Lonchura striata: one gene and its partner. The protein of the gene in region 1 purifies or fractionates together with the protein of each later gene. This does not show direct contact. Links are inferred from orthologs where the notes say so. Each region holds a gene or a part of one and is shown on either strand. Other genes may lie near its edges.

Region 1 (9,917 bases):
GCTTTCCTTGTGTGGCAGTTCCTGAGAGGAGGGGAAACACGACATTGGTGCCATCCCAGGCTGCCAGACAAGAGCCTGTGCACGGGATGGAGTTCCAGCAGGCTTTTCCCAAGCCCTGGAGTGTGAGAGTGTCTGTGACACAGCCTGGCAGAGAGCAGAGGAGCAGTGGGACAGGCTTGGAGTAAGGGACAGCAGAACTGCAGGACCTCACAGTCTAACAGAAACTTTGTTTGCACCTCTGCTGCAAATCATAATCACAGTTTGGTTAAACAACATATTCTGACTCCAGCCCTTATCTCACAGTGTTTGCCACCTGAGTGTAAATTGAGTGAAGGACAGAGGCAGCTTGACTGTTGTGATTGAAAGCCTGGGACCCAGAAAATCACTTAAACTTGAACAGAGATGCCTTCCCAACTTGCCTTAGGATTTTCTATTTCAGCTGAAATAGAAAAATGTGTAAAAATTGCCAACTGAAACTTCACCTGTACATTTCTACCTTCTGAGAGAAGTTTGAAATGTAACCCAAGTGAGTGTTGAAGATTTCAGAACCAGAAGGCAGAGAAAAGGTAAAGCTGCTGATTTAAAAAGTTTAAAATAATGCATGAAGGTAAACCTTTAGGCCTGCAATTCTGAGAGCTTGTATAAAGTATTAGCTTGCTTTTGGTCTTTATTTTCAAATGACAGGGTAATGCTGACACAGGTCTAACGAAGCTGGTGGAGCTGCATGCTGGGCAGGCCAAATTCCTGATTTCTGTGGTGTCTCCAAGGTACAAACAGCTGCAGAGCAAAGTCTTGCTGCCCAGACAGCTGCAGCCCCAGTGCTGAGGCTCTGGAGTTTCAGAGGCTGTGGTTGTGTAAGCTGTGATTCAGCAGAACCCTGCAACTACGGGCACATTCAAATGAAGGAGTGGAATTCATTATAAAACAAAGGCATTGCATATGAACTGATAAGAGATTAAAGCAATGCTTTTCATGTTCACAGGAGGTGCTACATTTTGTTTAGGAAGAACTGAGTTGTGTTTTCAACAGCTATTAAATATATGAAGTACTTGCTTTAACATGAAGACTCTTGTTAATGTAATATCAGCTGGCAGGAAGAATGGGGGAGGAGCCCCCCTGCTGGGCTTTTTCTGAGGGAAAAAAAAACCAATAATTTGAGCTCTCCAAAGTGTTTAAAAACAATTACATAACTTTGTTTTTTGTTGTCGTTCAAATTATTAATTTATATTTCACTACAGCTTCCAAAACCATGTTATATTTTATTTTTAACAGTAGTTGATTGTAATATTCATCTTACTTAGAAACCAATCTTAATTCATTTTGTACTTCATACTTGTGGCTAATTCCTTGTTAATTAGCTTTCATTTATCTTAATAATGGGATGTGTAAATACTTACAAAGACTTTATGTCCTCATTTCCCCTTCCTCTCCTGTGTTTTAGTTATTTCCAATGGTATAATGGATAGAGCTCACCAGCATTTTGCTTACAGGGGAAACTGGAAACTGCTCAGTGTGTGTGTGTGTGCGCACAGCACAAGCATGTCTGTAAAAAATGTCCCTTTTCTCTGTCACTGAATTGCTTGTGGACTTTTCTTTGACAAGTGCACTGATTGTTACAGCTCCCAAGGAGGCTGAGCAGTGCATTTCTGAGTTGAGGATGATCCCTTGGCTTACAGTACAAATAAATGAAATTTTAAGCAAGCTCTATAATTTGCTAGTTTTCTTTTAAATGCAAGATTTTGTGCTGGTCTGGTTGGGGTAGAGTTTTGTAGGTGTGATGTTTTAGTGTGTGTATACTGGGTTTGACAGCAGGGAACACAGATAAATGTTGCTCTTTTACAGTTTTACTGTAGTGAGAGAGTCTGATATTGGATATAAAGAGACAAATGCATTTAACTTTCCCCAAAGTGCTCGTGTGTCATGCTGCAGCTCCAGCTGTGTTACAGCGAGCATAGATCAGATCAGCATACTTCTCTCAGAGGAAACTGGAGTTTTATCTTTTACTCTTTACTGTTTCTCCATAATGTTTCACTCCTTGGAGGTAATTTAGTATCATTTCCCTTCCCTTCTTGTATGCATTTTTTTGACGTTCTTGTATGGTCACTGCTGTGCTGCCCTTGCTTGTGACACCCCTGTGTGACAGAAGCTCCTGGGCTGTCTGTTCCCAAATCCTGCTGCTGACACTGGTCCCAGCTGGGTGCTGTGTTGGGCTCAGCTCTCTGAAATCAAGAATGGATGGGCAGAGGTGGGCCAGCTGTAAAACACCAGCCTTGTGTGGGTTCTGGGAAGGCTCTGGGTGTGTGGGGAGTGTTACACACTCACAGTCACACTGCTCAGATCCAGGCTTTTTCACTTGGCAAAGTTGGCTCCAGCCAGTATTGCTGTGGGGAGAAGAGAGATTTCCCAAGCTGGGAATAAAGTACAACTAACTGAAAGAAATAAATCTTGACACTTTCTCAACTGTCAGAGAATCCTTTTCTCCTCTCCATCAGGTACAATAAAATGTGATGGTGGTAAATAAAGAGTGAGCACCCTCCAGAGGTGAGATGGGATGGGGCAGTCACCAGGATAGTCCCTTCAGGGAAACATTCCCCACTGCTCTTGGGACAAGTGCTGGGATCAGCCTGCACCTCCCGCTGGCACGAGATAAGGAATTGTTATCTGAGCTTCAAAAGAAAGAGTGATGTTTGGAAGTTTTGCTTTCATTCTGGATCAGAATAAAAACCAAACTGTCAACACTTCCTTTGAAATGAAAATGGAGACAAAACACCAAATTGAGAATCAGCATGGAAGAAGAACAAAGCACTTTGTTAATGTTTTGTTTTGAGGTGAAATATTTTGGTTTGACTTTCACATTTCTGTAAACGTACCTTAATTGTTGCTGTTACTTTGTGAAAACTGCACTATAGCCCAAAAGTGTAGTAATTTCAGTATTAATTTGTATTAATTCTTTCAGTATTAATTGGTAATTAATACTGAAATAATGGCACAGAAATGACATGGCTCTTTATTTTAAAGACCTGTTCTTGTAGAAGCATCTCTTCCGAATCCCCCTGAAAATGTTAATTCCCTCTTGTGAGGGTTAGAACTGTGCACAACAGGTTCACACCTTCTTGGGGTTCACACCTTCAGGGAAAGATCTCCTTCCCATTCTGCTCAGCACTTCCAAAGGGCACCGTGGTTCCTCACACCTGAGGCTCCAGGTGCGAAAACAAGGCTGGTTTTAGTCTGACTGATCCCAAAGTTTGTGGCGTGATGTCAGGAATCTCCTGTCCCAGGGATATCCTGGGAGGAGGGGGTGAAATACAGCTTGGAAAGAAAACTTGGCCAGCCAGTTTGCCACAGGCTCTTGGATTAATAGGAGACAATCCCTGGGGTCCTGCTGGGACCAGTGGCTGAGCCAGGTAAAGCCTGGAATGTTTGTCACATCTGACTATTCCTTGGGTATTTGTGTCTCCTCTGGGTAATCTTTCAAAGAAACAACTCCCACAAATACCATTTTTCTCTTTTCAGCCTCTTTTTTTAAAGCACTCTGTGTGAGCTGTTCTCATCTTTTGATACTCCCAAGTCTTCTGATTTTTTAAAAGCACAATAAAGATGTTTAGTCATTGTCTCAGAGGAGAAACATAATTTGTCTCGAGGTGGCTGTGATATACTTTAAAGAAAAAAACCCAAAACTTTCCTTCTCTGGATGTTTCAGAGATCCATGATTTTTAGTGTCAAGTTATTGTACCATACTCATGTTCTGCAGCTATAAATTTAAACAAACCAAACAAAACCTCTATGCTCCCTTTGATGTGTATTGATGTACAATATTTTCTGAAGACCTAAGTGGGTCTTGAAATATAATATTGTTGTCATTTTCTTATTGTTCTCAGTGGATTCTGCTGCATCTCCCTTGCTTGAATGCTGAATTGAATTGCTACAGATTGTTTCAAAGCACAGCAATCAATTTTGGTTCAAACTGGGTGGAAATACCTTACAAATTGCTGTCACACTTCAGTGAAGGGAAACTGCTTTAAGTCAAGTCGGGTCAGGGATCTCTAGATACCTAATCTAAGCTTCATTACTCAGAGCAGAAGTAGCTGCTGGTCTTACACCACAAATAATTTTAATTATTGATTCATGCCCAAGGGTTGAACAGCCTATAACTCTCAAAAAGTATGTTTTTAAATCTGAAGCATAAATCTTAATGAGGCTTAGTGTAAATTCAGTGGAAGAAACAAACAAAAAAACCAAAAAAAACAACCTGGATTGTAAAACAGCTTCTCATTGTCTTTACCTAGATGTTTAAACCACCACATCTTCCCCAACAAGGTTATTATTCTTATTCTTGGGTCTCAGTGAATACTCCACAAACAGGCTGGGAACTGACACAAAATGAAATCATCCTCTTTGTGTACATTTTTATTACAAGGTGTGTCAAATACCTTACAAGGAGTAATTATAATTTGTTTCATTAATGAAGAAGCTCAGGTGTGATTGCCTCACCCGTTTGCCTGAGATCACACAACAAACCGATGATGAAACTACCTACAAGCTTTTTGTGTCCTAGGATTACTTTTAAATGTTTCAGCTTTGAAAATGGAAGGAAAATGTCATTTGCTGTGAGCTGAACTCTTTCCTAGGTAGTAGAGGGGTTGGGATAGAACCTTTTATCTGCTCTTTGCCAGAAGGAGTGACAGCTCTTTCCTCTGCCAGGGCTTTGCATCCTCAGAGCCAAGAGCTGGCACAGGATGGGCGAGGGGATCATCCATCCCCAGGAGCACAGGGAATATGTGGGAAGGAGGAGAGTGAGCGGAGACCTCACTGGGATGTGCAACATCCTCGTGTTTGGGAGCAGAGGGGACCGGTCCCCATCTCTTTCTTCACTCTCGTGACCAGTGACAAGACTCGAGGGAATGGCATGAAGCTGTCGGGGAGGTTTGGGTGGGATATTAAGAAAAGATTCGTGTCCCAAGACTGTGGTGGGGCACTGCCCAGGCTCCCCAGGGCATGGTCCCAGCCCCAAGGCTTCCAGAGCTCCAGGAGCGCTTGGACAATGCTCAGGGTGGGATTGTTGGGGTGTGTGCGCGGCCAGGAGCTGCACTGCATGGTGGACCCGTTCCAACTGGGGATCTTCTGTGATCTCCTTGAGGTTAAAAAGGCACGTCCTTGCACAAACAGGGACTTGGGGAGGGCAGGAGGAGCGCGGTCACCCTCAGTCAGAAAGCGAGGAGGAAAGCACGAGAGCTCTCTGAGGGGCCGGCGCGTGAAGGGGAAACGGCTCCGCGTGGCCTGCCGCGAGGATCCGCAGGGCAGGGCCGGCATGAGGAGGACGATCACCCGCGGCCGGCAAGCCAGCCGCGAGCCGCCCTCAGCCCGCCCGAGCCCTTCCCGCCGCTTTTCCCGCCGCCGTTCCCGCCGCTCCCTCACGGCCGCCGGCCCCGCCCATTGGCCCCGCCCCGCCCACGCGCCCCGCCCATTGGCTCCGCCCCGAGGCTCCGCCCATTGTCTCCGCCCATTGGCTCCGCCCCCGGCGGGCGGGGCCGCGGGGCCGCGCACGGGCACGGCGCGGGCGCCATGTTGGAGCGTCGCTGAGCGCGGGGTGCTGCTGAGAGCGCGACCCGGTCTGCGCGGGACTGGGGCGGGGGAGCCGCGCCGAGCCGCGGGGGAATCGCCCGGGCGGACCATGGACGTCGAGAGGCTGCAGGAGGCGCTGAAAGGTGGCGGCCAGGCTGGTGGCGGGGGCTGGGGGAGCGGTGTCGCCGCGCTGAGGGGAAGGCTGAGGTTCCTCAGAGCCTGTGGGGGGAGCGCCCCTCGCTGAGGGCGAAGGGTCCCCGCGCTGTGGGGAGGGAGCTGCTCGCTGTGAGGGGTCCCGCAGAGTGGGGAGAGGCCAGGAGTCGTGGGGAAGTGGAGGGCAGAGCCCGCGGTCTCCCTGCCCAGCGACCCTCGGGGCTGCGTGAGGGGGATCAGCGACTCTCGGCTCTGCCCGGCTGCCGCCCTGGACACCCCGGTCCGGCCGCCCCTTCTCCCTCATTCCTGCCCCTTCCCCCGCATCCCGGCCCCTTCCCCCGCATCCCGGCCCAGCCCGGACCTGTCCCCTTCTCCCTCCGCAGCCCTCTCTCTTCTGGGCTCAGCTTGAGCAAATCGCTCTCTTTCTGTGCCGTAGCTGCTCGGAAGAAGTTGCAAATCAACTTTTGCTACTCTGCTGCGTGCGGTTTCTCCGCAGGAAAAATAATAAGTGTTTCCCAGGGCTGAGGAGCTGGTGGAGTTCATGGGAACAGCCGGGGCATTGTGAGAGCACAACAGTGTTTTTGTGGGAGCTGTACTGATAGTTCAAGCAAATCGCTAATTATTGTGAATTTTTGTTCTGTCCCATCTTCATTTACCATTCTTTTTGTGTCGTTCTCATGCCAACAGATTTTGAGAAGAGAGGAAAGAAGGAAGTGTGTCCAATACTGGATCAGTTTCTTTGTCATGTTGCTAAGACTGGAGAGACGATGTAAGTGTGACTGTTTTGGTGGTCCTCAGTCGTGACTTAAAACAATTCTTGCATTTTACGTCATTGAGATTCTACCAGGATTCTTTTTTTTGCCTGTAGGTTGCTTCAGTGGGCTAAATAAGCTTTCCTCAGTTCCCATTTAATTTTGTATTGATTAATTTAGTTTGCTGATAGTTTGATCTAACGAGGGGAGACTTCTCGTATAGGCTTTGCTCTGATGTGCCTGTCAGGTCTTACTGATCCTACTCAGCACAATAAAAAACCTGTTGCTTTCCCTGGATTTTTGAGAGAGATTCAGGTTTTGTATGTTACAAGTTAAGCTGCTGTTGCAATGTTTTCTATACACTGTTGTATAACTGTGTTTGCAGTATCTACATTGTGTTATTTACATAAAGATTGCAGTCGCTCACATTGTTTCTTTCTGGGCTCTGTAACCATCCTGTGACTGTCTGGGCGCTGCTGCTGAAGCGGGGACGATCCGGAGGCGCTTTTGCGGACGGGGATGTGTGGGAACCGCGGGGAGCGCCGTGTTTTTCCCTGGTGCGGAGGGAATTTCCCTCGTGCCGCCCTTTGCGGCCGCTTTCCCGGAGCTTTCCCGGGAGGCAGCGGAGGGAGCCGCGCTCCTTGCGGGGCTCGCTGCTGGTGACTTCCTTGCGGCTCACTATCTGGCAGGAAGGGGAAAGGCTTCCCGGCTGCGCTGCCGGATTCGTGCTCACTTTCTGGCGCCCGGGCTGTCTCCTTGTTTTTGAGGCCTAGTGCCAGACTACGGCTCCAGCAGGGAGATATGCTTTTACGAGTGTTTTGTGATCAACCACCGACCCGCAGGGGCTTTGTTTGAGTTTCGAGAGTCCCGCCAACTTATTAGAGGTTCTGGTGATTTTTTTTTTTTTGGTAGCTTGCTAGTGCTGCTTGGATTAATGGTTTAGAAAGAAAAACAAGTTCTGAAATGTACTTTGCTCTTTGAATAGAAGGCTCATGCTCAGCAGACATACACAGCTGTAATGCTTCATGTTTTGGTGTAGTACTTATTATACAGAAAAAATACACCACAGTAAGCCCATACTAAAATATGTTTAAAATATTTTTTCCCATTCTGAGGTATTTCTTCAGGTTGTTTTTACTGTTTCTGCCATTATCATGTATATTCCAAAGTATTTTTTAAAAAGTGATTCTATAGGGCCAAATTATTGGGAAAATTGTATCCTTTCTGATTTTATTTTCATTTAGGAAATCTAGGTTTATTTTTATTATTTTTATTTTATTTTTACAAACTTAAACCTCAGCTGGAGTCTGTAATCTGATATACAGATCCTGCCTTCTGTGTTTCCAGGGTTTTCTTGCAATTTTTTTTTTTTATATAGTTTTTTTAAAAGGTGTTGGATGTGAACATCAGAAATGCCTAATATAATCTGGAGATAGGCATGGAAATACTGTTTTATAATACTGTATTTGCTTCAGATTATCTGCCAGAGTCAGTATTTGGTCATCAGACATGTGTTCATCAGACTGATGTGTTATGTATCACAATATCAGGGGGAAAAGTGAGTAAAAATTAAAATCTCCTGGAAATCACTCATATGAAGATTACTAACGTGCCTTTTAAGAGCTTAATGTATTTTTAAGCTGGTACAGCTTGACAAGTACAAGTGTTCTGGAATAGGCAAACCTACCAAATACATGCAAATTTAAAATGCACTAGATAATCTTTATTTTGACTTATGTAAAAACAACTTTGTTGAATAGAATCTAAGCCAGTAATAAATAGATACTTTGGAGTGAGAAAATAAAATACTCGTTTGTAGTGACATTTGTTAGGATTTTTACAAAGTCAGAGTATAGTTAAAAAAAACAAAACAAGCAGGGATGATGGTTTAGTCAGGGGTAATTACACCCATGGTTTGCAGACTTGATTATTGAACAATGATCTTACTCAGTCACAGCCTGTTCCTAATGTAACAAACAAAAAGTACTGAGGCAAATCAGGACAAGTGAAATGTGAAATATTTTTGTGTTCAGTTGTTAGTTCTAGGAGAGTTACATGGTCTTCATAGGAGTTCTGTCAGCTTTTTAATTTCATCACAAATGCTGATTTTTAGAAGATAAACTGCAGTCTCTATCCTGGGGTGAATGCTCTCATCCTCCATACGTTTCCAGACGCAGTTGCAGCAGATTTTGGTGACTCAGTAAAATTAGTTTGAAAAGGTAGTAATGAAGTAAATTAAAGTGACATTTTAGGTTCTCCTCAAAGCTTGATCACTCAGCTCACCCAACAGATGGAAAGCACAGGCTCAGGTGAGATCGTTGGGTGCCTCCCTGCCCCCACTTGTTGCAAAGTGCTTATTCATCTGAGGGAGCTGGGAACAGGTAGGTGCAGGTTTAGGTGAGGCTCTGATCTTCCTGGGATTTCTCTGGCAGAAGCCTTGGCTGGTGCTGCCCGTGGGTCACTGTTTCACTTGGGCTGTCGAGCTGCTTCTGCAACTCCACAGGAACCTGGGGCAGGAGCTTCTCACAGTCCTGACTCCTTAGGACGAGGTTGGGTTCACTGATCCACGTGTTCTGTCCCGGTGACTGGTACTGCCAAGCTGGAGAAGTGGTGAAGGGCAGGAACGGAGGGTGAGGTGCTAAAGCCACCAGTGCAGCCATGACAAGGCTCCTAGTATCTTTATTATAATTAGAGGTCTTTTTCACTTACAAGGGAGGTGTGGAACAAAAACATTGCTAATTTTGGTTCTATTATCACTGTAAGCTTAGATGTGTTATCACTACTGTGCAGTAAAATTCTGATCATACAATGATGTACATTCACTTCATCTTTTTGAAGTTGAAGTTTTCCTCTTGTGCAAAGTTAACCATTCACTTAATTGCTGTTGAGATTATAGCCTACATCTACAGAAGCCAGTCTAAACTTCCTTTATTAGAGGTGACAGAAGCAAAAGTCTTATTGCTTGGCTACTATGAAATATTTTTGTTTCTTAACAGTTGCCAAGGTAAGACTTAGCCTTAGGTGAAATACAATATAAAGTTTGTTTTTCAACCTTTTTGAAGTTGTCTTGAATCTTAGGGTTTTTTTTCTTTTCAGAGGCGTAACGTACTTCTCAATTAGCTTGACTTTTTACTGAGATACTAATGTGGAATTTCCTTAGTGAGACCAAGTACAGTCAGTGAAGTTTGTTATAACCTCCTTGTCTCCAGTTTGTAACAGATCAGTGTGACTTGCAACACTGAGGAAAGTGAAGAGAGAGGAAATTTGTTAGTCCTAGTACTTAGCTGTATCTGAAGGACCTCTAGAAACAGGATGAGTTTTTGTCCTTTTTTTCATAAGAAATCCACTTATCTGTTTTCCAAAGTAGAAAGAGCTTTAATGGATGGGTTGGAAATCAGAGCATTGCAGTACTAGAAATAAAACGCAACAGTGACTTTTTTTGTTGTTTCT
Region 2 (9,858 bases), on another chromosome or scaffold:
ACGGTTTTACCCAGTTTTACTTTGTTTATGATTTTTTCTTCCCAACCATTAAACCTAAAAGCTGAACTTGCATAAAGTTACGCCAGTGGAACCTTAGTGGATTTTAGAGAGTTGTAGCATAAGGCCATTAATCAAAAAAGTGCAGTAAAAAGTATTGTCGGTAGAGCTCAAATCTGGGCAACACAAAATGGAAGGCACTCAAAAGGAAATGCTTGAGAAAGAAGAAAATAAATTATCTTTATTAACCTCATCGCTATGTCTTCTCTGCCTAAGGAAGTTTTACTATAGTAGGAGAATGATATTAACTATAAAAAAAGAGAAAAATTCTCCTTTCAAATGTAACCTGACTGATAAAAGACTGCTGAAAATTCCAGAAACATCCAACTCTCTTTACAGAGCCCTGAAACATGCCAAACACAGGCAGACAGGAAGCCTTGCTCTTGGTGGTATTAAAGAAGTGTCTTTTGCAGCCACATCTCACCTGTGATCCTGTTAGAAATGCTGAAGAGCCTCGATGTCCTGTGCTGCTGAACAAAGGACTTGCGGTAATACCGATCCCCAAAGCACATTCCCAGGAGCTCCTTGCGCACTGTCTTGTTCCACAGCCCATAAATTAGCGGATGGCAAATGGCACTGGAAAAGGACAGCCATGTAGCCAATGTCTCCAAAGCAGGGGAAATACTGTTTTTACCCCAAAGTGCCTCTGATGTTATTACTACCATGTAAGGTCCCCACGTAACAACGAAAGCCCCGATGACAACCAAGATGGTTATGAAAGCTTTGCACTGGTTGGCTGAGTAAACAACCCCTTGGAAAGTGTTCCTTCGGCTGCCAGAGGAGGACGTGGAGGTGCTGGAGTTCTTCCTCCCATTCTTCTGCGAGTCCTCCTCTGCAATGACAACACTCCCACAGTGTATTTTGCGGGCCTTAATCCTGGCCACACGGAATATGAATCCGTAGCAGATCATCATGACTATGAATGGCAGCAGCGCGCACCAGATCTGCCAAAAGGCCGTGTAGGCAGCCTCCTTGTGCCAGGCTGCCACACACATCCACTTGAATTGGTCAAATTCCAAAGAGGACCAGCCAAAAAGGGGAGGGAGGCAGCCAATAAGGGAATGCAGCCACACGTACACAAGAGCTACCACTGCTCTGTTGCCCGTTATCTTCATCGGATAAACCATCGGGTACAGCACAGCATAGTACCTGTGGGGCAAGAAAAGAAGTAGACCACAGGAGCATAAAAGACATGCAATAAAGAAAAGAACATGCTTTAATGATGCTGGTATCTAGTTCTTTTTTCTTCGAACAGGCTTAGAAGCCCTGTTTCTAGAAATAGTTACATATAAAAGTAGGTATCACTGCAGTCAAGACTGTCAAACTTGGCTGAAGGGACACAGGCAACCATGAAATCTGTACCTATGTGTGATTGTATGTTTAGGGTATAATCTGGAATTTTAAGTCACTATTTCATGTTTGTTAAATAGTGTGTTATTATACCATCAAAAGCTTTAAAAAACTCTAGACGAATGTCTGCATTTTCCAGTATTGATGAAATCACGTTCTCTTGCTCCACATTAAAATTTCATGAGGAGCTGAAGTAAAAATGACACTCTGGCAGTACACCATGTAACCCTCTGCAGTGCTTCTCAACTCTGTGAACAAGCCATGGTTCCTCTATGAGAGGAGCAGGCAATTTGTTACAATGCATTACTGAAGAGCAGCTTACCGGTCTATAGCTATGAGTCCCAGAGTGAGCATGCTGGCTGAGCTGATCAGCATGTAGAGCAGGGCTGAGAAATTGCACCAAACAACGCCAAAGATCCATTCTCGCCTGATGGAGCTGGTCACGACAAAAGGCAGCACCAGCACGGAGAGTAGAAAGTTGGAGAGGGTCAGGCTGAACACAAACTTGTTGCTCAAGGTGAGAAGGTATGACTTGCGATACAGAGTGACAACAATCACCAGGTTGCCCAAACAGATGAAGATGGCAATGACAATTATAGCAATGGATTCAGTGACTCTGACTGCCCCGTCTTCCTCCGTGGTCAGGTTCCTCAGGCCCTTCCCATTGCTGAGGGAGGAATTGCTGCTCATGGTCAGAGCATGCAGACCTGGAGCAGCCAAGACATGCTGAGCAGCTAGAAGCAGAACAACGCTCAGAAACATTCAGGTAATAGCTCTTCAAACTCCTTCCCAAGACTGGAGGCCCTTTTGCCTGTGTTAAAATTTACCTGTAGTATGCAGGAAATTGCATATTTTATATGGGCAAGTGAAGGGGCAGTAAATTGCCTGTGAGCACACCAAAGAGGACAACACCAAGCCTGGAACAGGGAAGACAAGAAGAGATAAGGGGGGAAAATAAGAAAGAAAATACAGATTTTCTACAGATTTTCTACAGACCTTACTTGTTTCTAAGTCCTACTTACTAGCCCTTTCATCTAGGCTGTGAAAAAACAAGAATGTAATTTATTTCTTCAAGAAACAAGATAAATATCAAATATCTTTTTTTCTCTTACTTTAAAGAAAGTTCTTAGAAAATTCTGCCTATCCTGATAGTTACTTTGTATTCTGCCTATACAGCATTTGCTAGTGGTCTATGGATGCCTGGCTAGTCATACCCTGCTGACTCTTAACAGTTGCTAAGTAACATTCAAAGACTCAGGGACCACTGCATGTACTCTCCTTACATCTATTATGTGTGTTCACAATCAACTTAGCTATGCTGCTGATTGTATTTTACTGCCAACACCAAAGGATTGGAGGAATTGGCTTTCTGTACATGAGGTCTGAAAGACACTTCCTTGCATTAAGATAAGGTCCATGCTATAGAAATGCTTTAGAACCTTTAAACCTTGACTTCTCAGTGTTAGCATCCATCCCATTGATTCACAGCCTCATTTTATGAAACCTTGTTATTTCTTCCAATTCCTTAGCAATTCCTCTTTTCCCTGCTGCCTCTAAATGGTACTCACTAACTACTTTGTTCAGTGCTTCACCCATCTGCAGGACGGCATAAGAACTAAGAAAGAAACAAAAAATTCAAATACACAGACCAAAAAAAGTAAAAGAGTCCACCAATGAATATAAAGTTGATTTTAGCATTTCTAGGAAGTAAGGGCCTCAGGAAAGTTATCTTAGCTAATTCTGCAACTGTGCCAAACATGGGTCCCAGACAGTACTCACAGAAATGCTTCCATCTGCATGGCTGCTGTGGAATTACGCAGGGCTGTCAGTGTGGAAAGACGCCTTTTTTCCATTTTTATCTGTACTTTCCTAGGAACATAACACATTACTTGGCCATGCACTGAAAAAATGTAATATAGCTGTTCCCTAGCCTCTGACTGAGGATGTGTGCAAAAAACACTTCCCCTTGAGTTTCTTTCTGTCTCAGCATGCCTGTACCACCTCTGTGTGCCCTTCCAACACTTTTTGGCCGGAGCGGGTTTTGGAAAGGCGGCTTCCCCCGCAGCCGCTCCCTGCGATAGCGATAGCCGGGGCACCTGGCGCTTCCCCTCACGGCCCTGCTGCACCCTGAGGGGGAAAGCGACCTCTGGCCCCTCCCGGGCCAGGGCTGCCCGTGGCGGGGATAGCATCCGCATCCTATCCCGGCCGCGGGCAGCGCAGTCAGGCTTCCCGCACACCCACGAAGCGGGTGGGACTGAGTTGTAAATACGGTGGGGAAGGGGGGTTTCGCCATTTTGCACAAGCGCTCCCTCCGGCAGCGAACAAAGGGCTGGAATAGGTCGTCCGCCCCGGGCATCCATCGCCTCCCCCTCACCCGCCGGCGGAGAGCGGGTCCCGCCGCCTCTGTCTCCTCCCCGGCTCCGCACTCACCGTCCGCCGCCGCCAAAGCGGGACGTTCCTGGCTGAAGCACCCAGGACCCCCGACACCGAGCGTCCCCCGCCATGGGCACGGCCCCGGCCCGTGCCTGCCCCTCCCGCCGTCCCGCCCCGCCGCCTCAGCCCGCCGCGCCCCCTCCCCGCCCGCCATGTTCCCCCTGCCGCCCTGGGTCGGTCCGCGCGTCCCGGGAACTCGGTTAAAAGGCAGGGGGAAAGTACTTCACACGGATGAGGTAAAGTCATTTGCCCCGATTTGTAGTGCCATGCAGCTTTAGAGTCTAAGTGGTATACTTCCGAGACCCCAAAACACTATTAAAAGTAACAAAAAGAAGATTTGGGGAAGAGTTGTTCCCGCACGCACCTCTGAAGCAAGATATCGGATATAGGTTCAGTATACAGGGCACAATATAAAGGGTGAACAAAAATTAAATACCGTGCTTGTGTCTTCCTAGTTCCTGCCTTTCCTGGCAATGCCCTTGAGTGCAGAGGGTGACTGCCCTGATGTGAGCTGTGCTGGGTTTTGATTGCTCTGTGGAGTTTTTAATGTTGTGGACATCAGTTTCCTATGGCTGTTGCCTCAGTTCACTCCAATGCTCCAACAGCAGGAGCTGGACGGTGTGTCTTGCTCCTGTGCCAGGGGAAGGCTATAGGGAGTTAGTCTGCCCTTTCAATGATGCAGAAAAGCAAGACAACCACCCACCCATCAGTGCTGGAATATTAAGGTGATCTATAATTTTCAACCAGTTCTACTGATACTTTTCTACAGGACTTTTTTAAACTTACCACATCATTGCACTTCGACATTTTAAAAAGACCATCTTTGGACAGCATTCAAAAATGTATCAATCCAGCACAAGAGATTTCACAACCAGCAAAAACTGATGCACAGTTGTGCCTGAATGTGAGGAAGAACTTATTTCCTGTGCAAGTGACTGTGCACTTGTTGCCTAGAGAGGTTGTGGAGTCTCCCTCACTGAAGATACTCCAGACCTGTCTAGGCACAATAACATGCCATGTGCTCTGGGATCACCCTGCTTGAACAGGGAAGTTGAACCACATGATCCACTGTGCCCCATTCTAACCTTGCTCAGATGTGATTCTGTGTGCACACATATGTGTGTACTAACACAGCACAGGGCACCTGTGTGATGGAGCCACGTAATGCTTGCTGCAACTGTAAGTGTGGCCATGGAGATGGCCCAGGGCCACCAGAGGCTCCAGAGCTCCCCAAAACTGCTTGTACCCAGCCGTCCCACTCCTCTCAGCAAAGTACCCATGGGGAAGTGGCTGGAGGCACAAGCACTTGTAAGGCACACAAAATTCTCAGCTGGCTTCTGCAGTCCAGCTTCACTGGAACAGAGGCTTGGGTGAGTTTGCTGGCTCTTCATCCTGAGCAGGGGAGATTAAAGAGCCTACTCTCGCTACGGAAGCTCCAGCAGCACAGAGAAGTGTGGACCCCCTTTCTCACCCACCTGCCCCTCACATCACCTCCCAGAGTCACAGCCTGGGTAGGTTGGAAAGGGACACAACGGGTCATCTGATCTGACCACCCTGCTCAAGCAGGGTCATCTCAGAGCTCATGGCACAGGGTTGTGTCTCGATAGGTCTGGAATATCGCCAGTGGTGGAGGCATCACAACCTCTCTGGACAACCAGTTCCAGTGCTCGGTCACCTGCACAGTAAAGAATTTCTTCCTCATGCTCAGCTGGAATTTCTGTGCATCAGTTTCTGCCTGTTGCCTCTTGTCCCACCACGGAGAAGAGTCTGGATCCATACTCTTGGAATCCCCTCTTTAGATATGTGTACACATTGATGAGTGCCTCTCTCGGCCAGCGATTCTCGAGGCTGAACAGGCCCAGCTTCCTCAGCCCTTCCACCTAACGGAGATCAGTCGCTTTATCATTTTCGCTGCCCTCCGCTGGACCCCCTCCAGAAGCTCCATGTCTCTCCTGTCCTGGAGAGAAAATGCAGATGTGGGCTCACTAGAGCTGAGCAGAAGGGCAGGATTCTCTACGTCGCCCTGCTGGCAGCGCTCTTCCCGATGCCTCCCAGGATTCCTCCACAACCGCCGCCGGGGCTCCGCGCCGCGCGGCCCTGGAAGCGGAAATGCTGCGGGGCGGCGGTTCCGGGGCCGCGACGCTGCCGTGAGTGCCGTGCGGGAGGAGACGGGAGGAGAGGGGCTCCTCCGCTCCGCCTCTCCGCCCCTGCCGCCTGCTGCCTTCTGCTCGGCGGAGAGGAGGCCGCCATGCACCCCGTTTTCCAGAGCAGCCGGCGCGACTTCACCTTCGGGCCGTGGAAGCTGAGCGCCGCCCGAACGCACATCATGAAGTCGGCGCAGGCCGAGAGGTGAGGCGGGCTCCGGGCCGGGGACGCAGGGGGACACAGCACAGCACGGTGTCCCCGCTGCTCGGGGAGCCCCCGCTGCTCGGGGCTGCGGCCTCGGCCGTCACAGCGAGGGGCTGGGGTTGTCGGGTGGCCTTGCAAAGGAAACACCGAGCGTTCCCAGGGCGGGGGAGACCCTGTTCGGCCCCCGGGGTTGTTCCTTCTCTTCAAGCTTGATTCTCTGGCTGGAGAATTTTGGGTTACAGGTGATTTCCAAAATTTTGTTTTAATGATTGGAGAAGTCAGCCTACAAGAAGACGAAGAGGGACGTTTTACAAGGGCAGGTAGTACGAGGACAAGGGAGAATGGATTCGAACTGAAAGAGAGGAGATTTAGATTGGACCCTAAGAAAGAAATTCCTGATTGTGATGGTGGTGAGTCACTGGAACAGAGTGCCCAGAGAAGTTGTAAATGCCCCATCCCTGGAGATGTTCCAGGCCAAGTTGGATGGACCTTTGGGCAGCGTGGTCCAGTGGAGGTGTCATTGCCCATTGCAGAGGGGTTGGAACTTGACCTTTAAGGTTTTTTTCCAACTCAAACAATTCTGATTGTATTATTATAATGGTTTTGGATCCAAATCTCTGTGAACTGAGACCCACTAATTAGAAGGCTAATTGTCTTAATTACTTTTGAAAAGGAATATTTTTAATGTCATATGTCTTGGTAATAGCTATTTTTAAATAGTGGTTTTCATTAAAAATTTATAATTTGCTCTCTTCCTGTAGGAATTTCCAATCCAGTGAAATAATTGGAGGAAATGTTCCTGTACCAGCATTAAGTACTTAAGTCAGATTTGCTAATGTGGAACTGGAGAGTTCAGCTGTGCCATAACTGACCTTAATGGCAGATGGATTTGGCAGATATTTCTTAGTTTCATTTTCTGGAATAAATTTCAGTGTACATGAGAATCTCATTAGTCTTGTTAAATGTACTTTCATTTATCTTGCTTTTACCTTTTCTGAGGCTAATAAGGCATTCTCTGGGAGGAACTGGCTGCTGATGGCTGGGATGTGTGCACTGTTTGCTGGGTAAAACATTGGATGGCTGAGCTCAAAGAGTGATGGTGAATGGGACTTACATCCTTCTGGTGACCCATCAACAATGGTGTTCCCCAGGGCTCAGGGGCCAGTCCTGTTCAATATCTTTATTGATAGTCTGGACAAGGTGATAGAGTGCACCCTCGGTAGGTTCACAGATGACCCCAAGCTGGGTGGAAGTGTTGATTTGCTGAAGGGTAGGAAGGCTCAACAGAAGGATCTGGGCAGGCTGAATCAATGAGCTGAGGCCAGCCACATTGTAGGAGGTGCAACAAGGTCACAGCGACCCATTTTGTCTATTTTATTGCTTGGAGGACATTATTAGTATCCATAGGAATTTTATTTCTGGCAAATAGATATTGTAAAAATTCCTCAGCAACCTGTGTGGAAAGGTGAAGGATTAAATGTGCCATAGCCAAGAACTCTCTTCTATGCAGGGGTTGGTTTTTGCAGGGAAAGGGTTCTTACACTTGATGAAATGGAAAGGTTTCATTGTCTTCTTTGGCAAAAATGTAGAATCTTAATTCTCCAGGTCTGTGAATTTACTGGTTTTATTTTAGTTAAGTTAATACTGTTCTTTTGTATTCAGGGTTACAGAAATAACCATTTTTGTTCAGGAATGCCTTGTTATCAATGTGAACATTATGATTAGGACACTCTTCTCCCTCCCCTCACTCAAATAAGTGTATTTCCTAAAGCTTTCTTCTCTCCAGATGTCATGTATTCCTTTTTGATTTTGGGAAGTCAGGTAGGTAAGGAGGAAAAGAAGTGTGAATTTCTAAAGAATTTTAGGAAGTGTGCCAGTACATGTCTTCTACCAGCAGAGCACAGTAGTGTCTTCTGCACTTTTTAGATACTCTGCCAAGGTTGTCATAAGCATCTTTTTTGTAGGGTTCTAAATTTGGAAGTATGGACCACTGTGCAGTGAATTCAATCTTCCTCATGATAAGTCCTTGTTCCTAAAAGTTGCTTTGAGCACCTACTGAAGTTGGTCCACTGCCCATCCAGGGGTTTGCTAGGACAGATGGAAAATTGCTTCTACATGCTTCTCACATACTCTTGATTCCTCATGTGTTAGAATTTTGTCTGAGCCTGATGGTGTAGGAATGTTTTAGGAGTACTTCTTTTGGTGAAAAAGTCACTTCAGATCAATGACTCTGCATTTCAGGTGAAATTATTAACCTGGTGATGTATCTTCTAAGTTATCATGGTCTAAAGAATCCTTCTTCCAAAACAAGAACTGCTTTAATTGAGCTGTGGTCAGCTGACTGATACCTCTTTTATTTTTCTCTGCAGGTTGGCTGATGAATTACACATGCCTTCCCTGCCAGAGATGATGTTTGGAGACAATGTCTTAAGAATACAGCATGACCATGGCTTTGGAATTGAGTTCAATGCTACAGATGCTTTAAAATGTGTCAATAATTGTCAAGGTATGATCAAAGTCGCTTGTGCAGCGGAGTGGCAAGAGAGCAGGTACAGTAATTTTATCACCAGAGGGGAAGTACTGGTGTGTTATATATGAAACTGTTATACAGTAGTTAAAGGAACAAACTGAACTCTTGACCACATTGCATTTGGTTGTACCCTAGATACAGCATGTAATCACAGAAGTCACTTTTCTTTGCTGTGATCATCCTTTCTGTTAAATTGGGCCAGCTATATTTTTCAGCTGTGTCATATCTTTCTTAAAGTAAATGTCAAGTTTAATGACTTAATGCTGTTTCTGTTTATTCAAACTCATAGAGCCTTGAGCATTACAAGACTGTATTGTGTGGTGTTGCAAAGTGCTGTACGTGTTCAAAATCTTAGCCTTAGGAATAAAGCAGAACAGTCACCATGCATGAGAACTAATTATGATGCTTAGTATTTACCAAATTTGATTTAGTTGTAGAGCATCTGGAATAAAGCCCAGAAACAAAGCAAAGTTATCATGAAAACTAAGGCAAATTGCAATTTTAATGATTGCTGTGTGTTGTCAAGAGATCACTTTCTGCCTACTTAAAGAAATACTGATCTTGAAATACAAATTTCTCAGCAATGTTGCATGAGAATCTTTATTTTGAGTCATAGAATGGAGATAGATGGAGAATTCTGATAATTGTTTTCAAAGTTATTATGGAAACAGATGTGAAACCATGATTAAGTCTTGACGTGATTGCAGCTCAGACAATGCTGCTGTTTTTCTTTAGGAGCAGTGTGGGAATTCTAATGCACAGTCTTAAGTGAGGTTGTAATTTTTTGAGAAAAGCAATTACTACAAAGCTGTTTTCTCTTTCACTGTTGAGGAGTGAGGCTGAGCACAGTAAGGAAGTTGTCAGGCCATATGACTGGACTTACACAACGGATTACAAAGGAACTTTGCTGGGAGATACTGCAACATTAAAGGTAATAATTTCCTTCTTGTTAATTGCTGACTGCATCTTGCTTCAGTCAAGCTTTTTTTTTAAAAAGCTGTCATTTACCTTTCAGTAGGCTTCTGTAAAACCTTTTGTGCTTTGCAATTTCTGATTTCAAAGTGTAATTTGGGCTTCTTATGTCTTTCAGCTCATGATTTTATTGTAATCAAATCATGGCTTATTTTAATAACGAGGGT

The links. Proteins that work in one complex are often made in the same cells at the same time.
Region 2: the proteins of PPP4R2 (region 1) and TIPRL purify together in Homo sapiens (affinity purification with mass spectrometry; 5 studies listed by BioGRID and IntAct, counting the BioPlex papers as one, with this or other methods). This does not show direct contact. The link is inferred for Lonchura striata from reciprocal best matches to the Homo sapiens genes PPP4R2 and TIPRL.

The regions. Positions count from the first base shown.
Region 1 is NC_134614.1:20,819,404-20,829,320, forward strand, and holds the start of PPP4R2 (serine/threonine-protein phosphatase 4 regulatory subunit 2), read left to right. Parts: upstream 1-5,527; 5' UTR 5,528-5,671; coding exon 5,672-5,705; intron 5,706-6,402; coding exon 6,403-6,484; intron 6,485-9,917. Other genes in the region: GXYLT2 (glucoside xylosyltransferase 2), read left to right, coding at 19-126. UniProt on the Homo sapiens protein: Regulatory subunit of serine/threonine-protein phosphatase 4 (PP4). May regulate the activity of PPP4C at centrosomal microtubule organizing centers.
Region 2 is NC_134604.1:23,234,411-23,244,268, forward strand, and holds the start of TIPRL (TIP41-like protein), read left to right. Parts: upstream 1-5,963; 5' UTR 5,964-6,088; coding exon 6,089-6,189; intron 6,190-8,558; coding exon 8,559-8,738; intron 8,739-9,550; coding exon 9,551-9,650; intron 9,651-9,858. Other genes in the region: GPR161 (G-protein coupled receptor 161), read right to left, coding at 482-1,206, 1,730-2,097. UniProt on the Homo sapiens protein: May be a allosteric regulator of serine/threonine-protein phosphatase 2A (PP2A). Isoform 1 inhibits catalytic activity of the PP2A(D) core complex in vitro. The PP2A(C):TIPRL complex does not show phosphatase activity.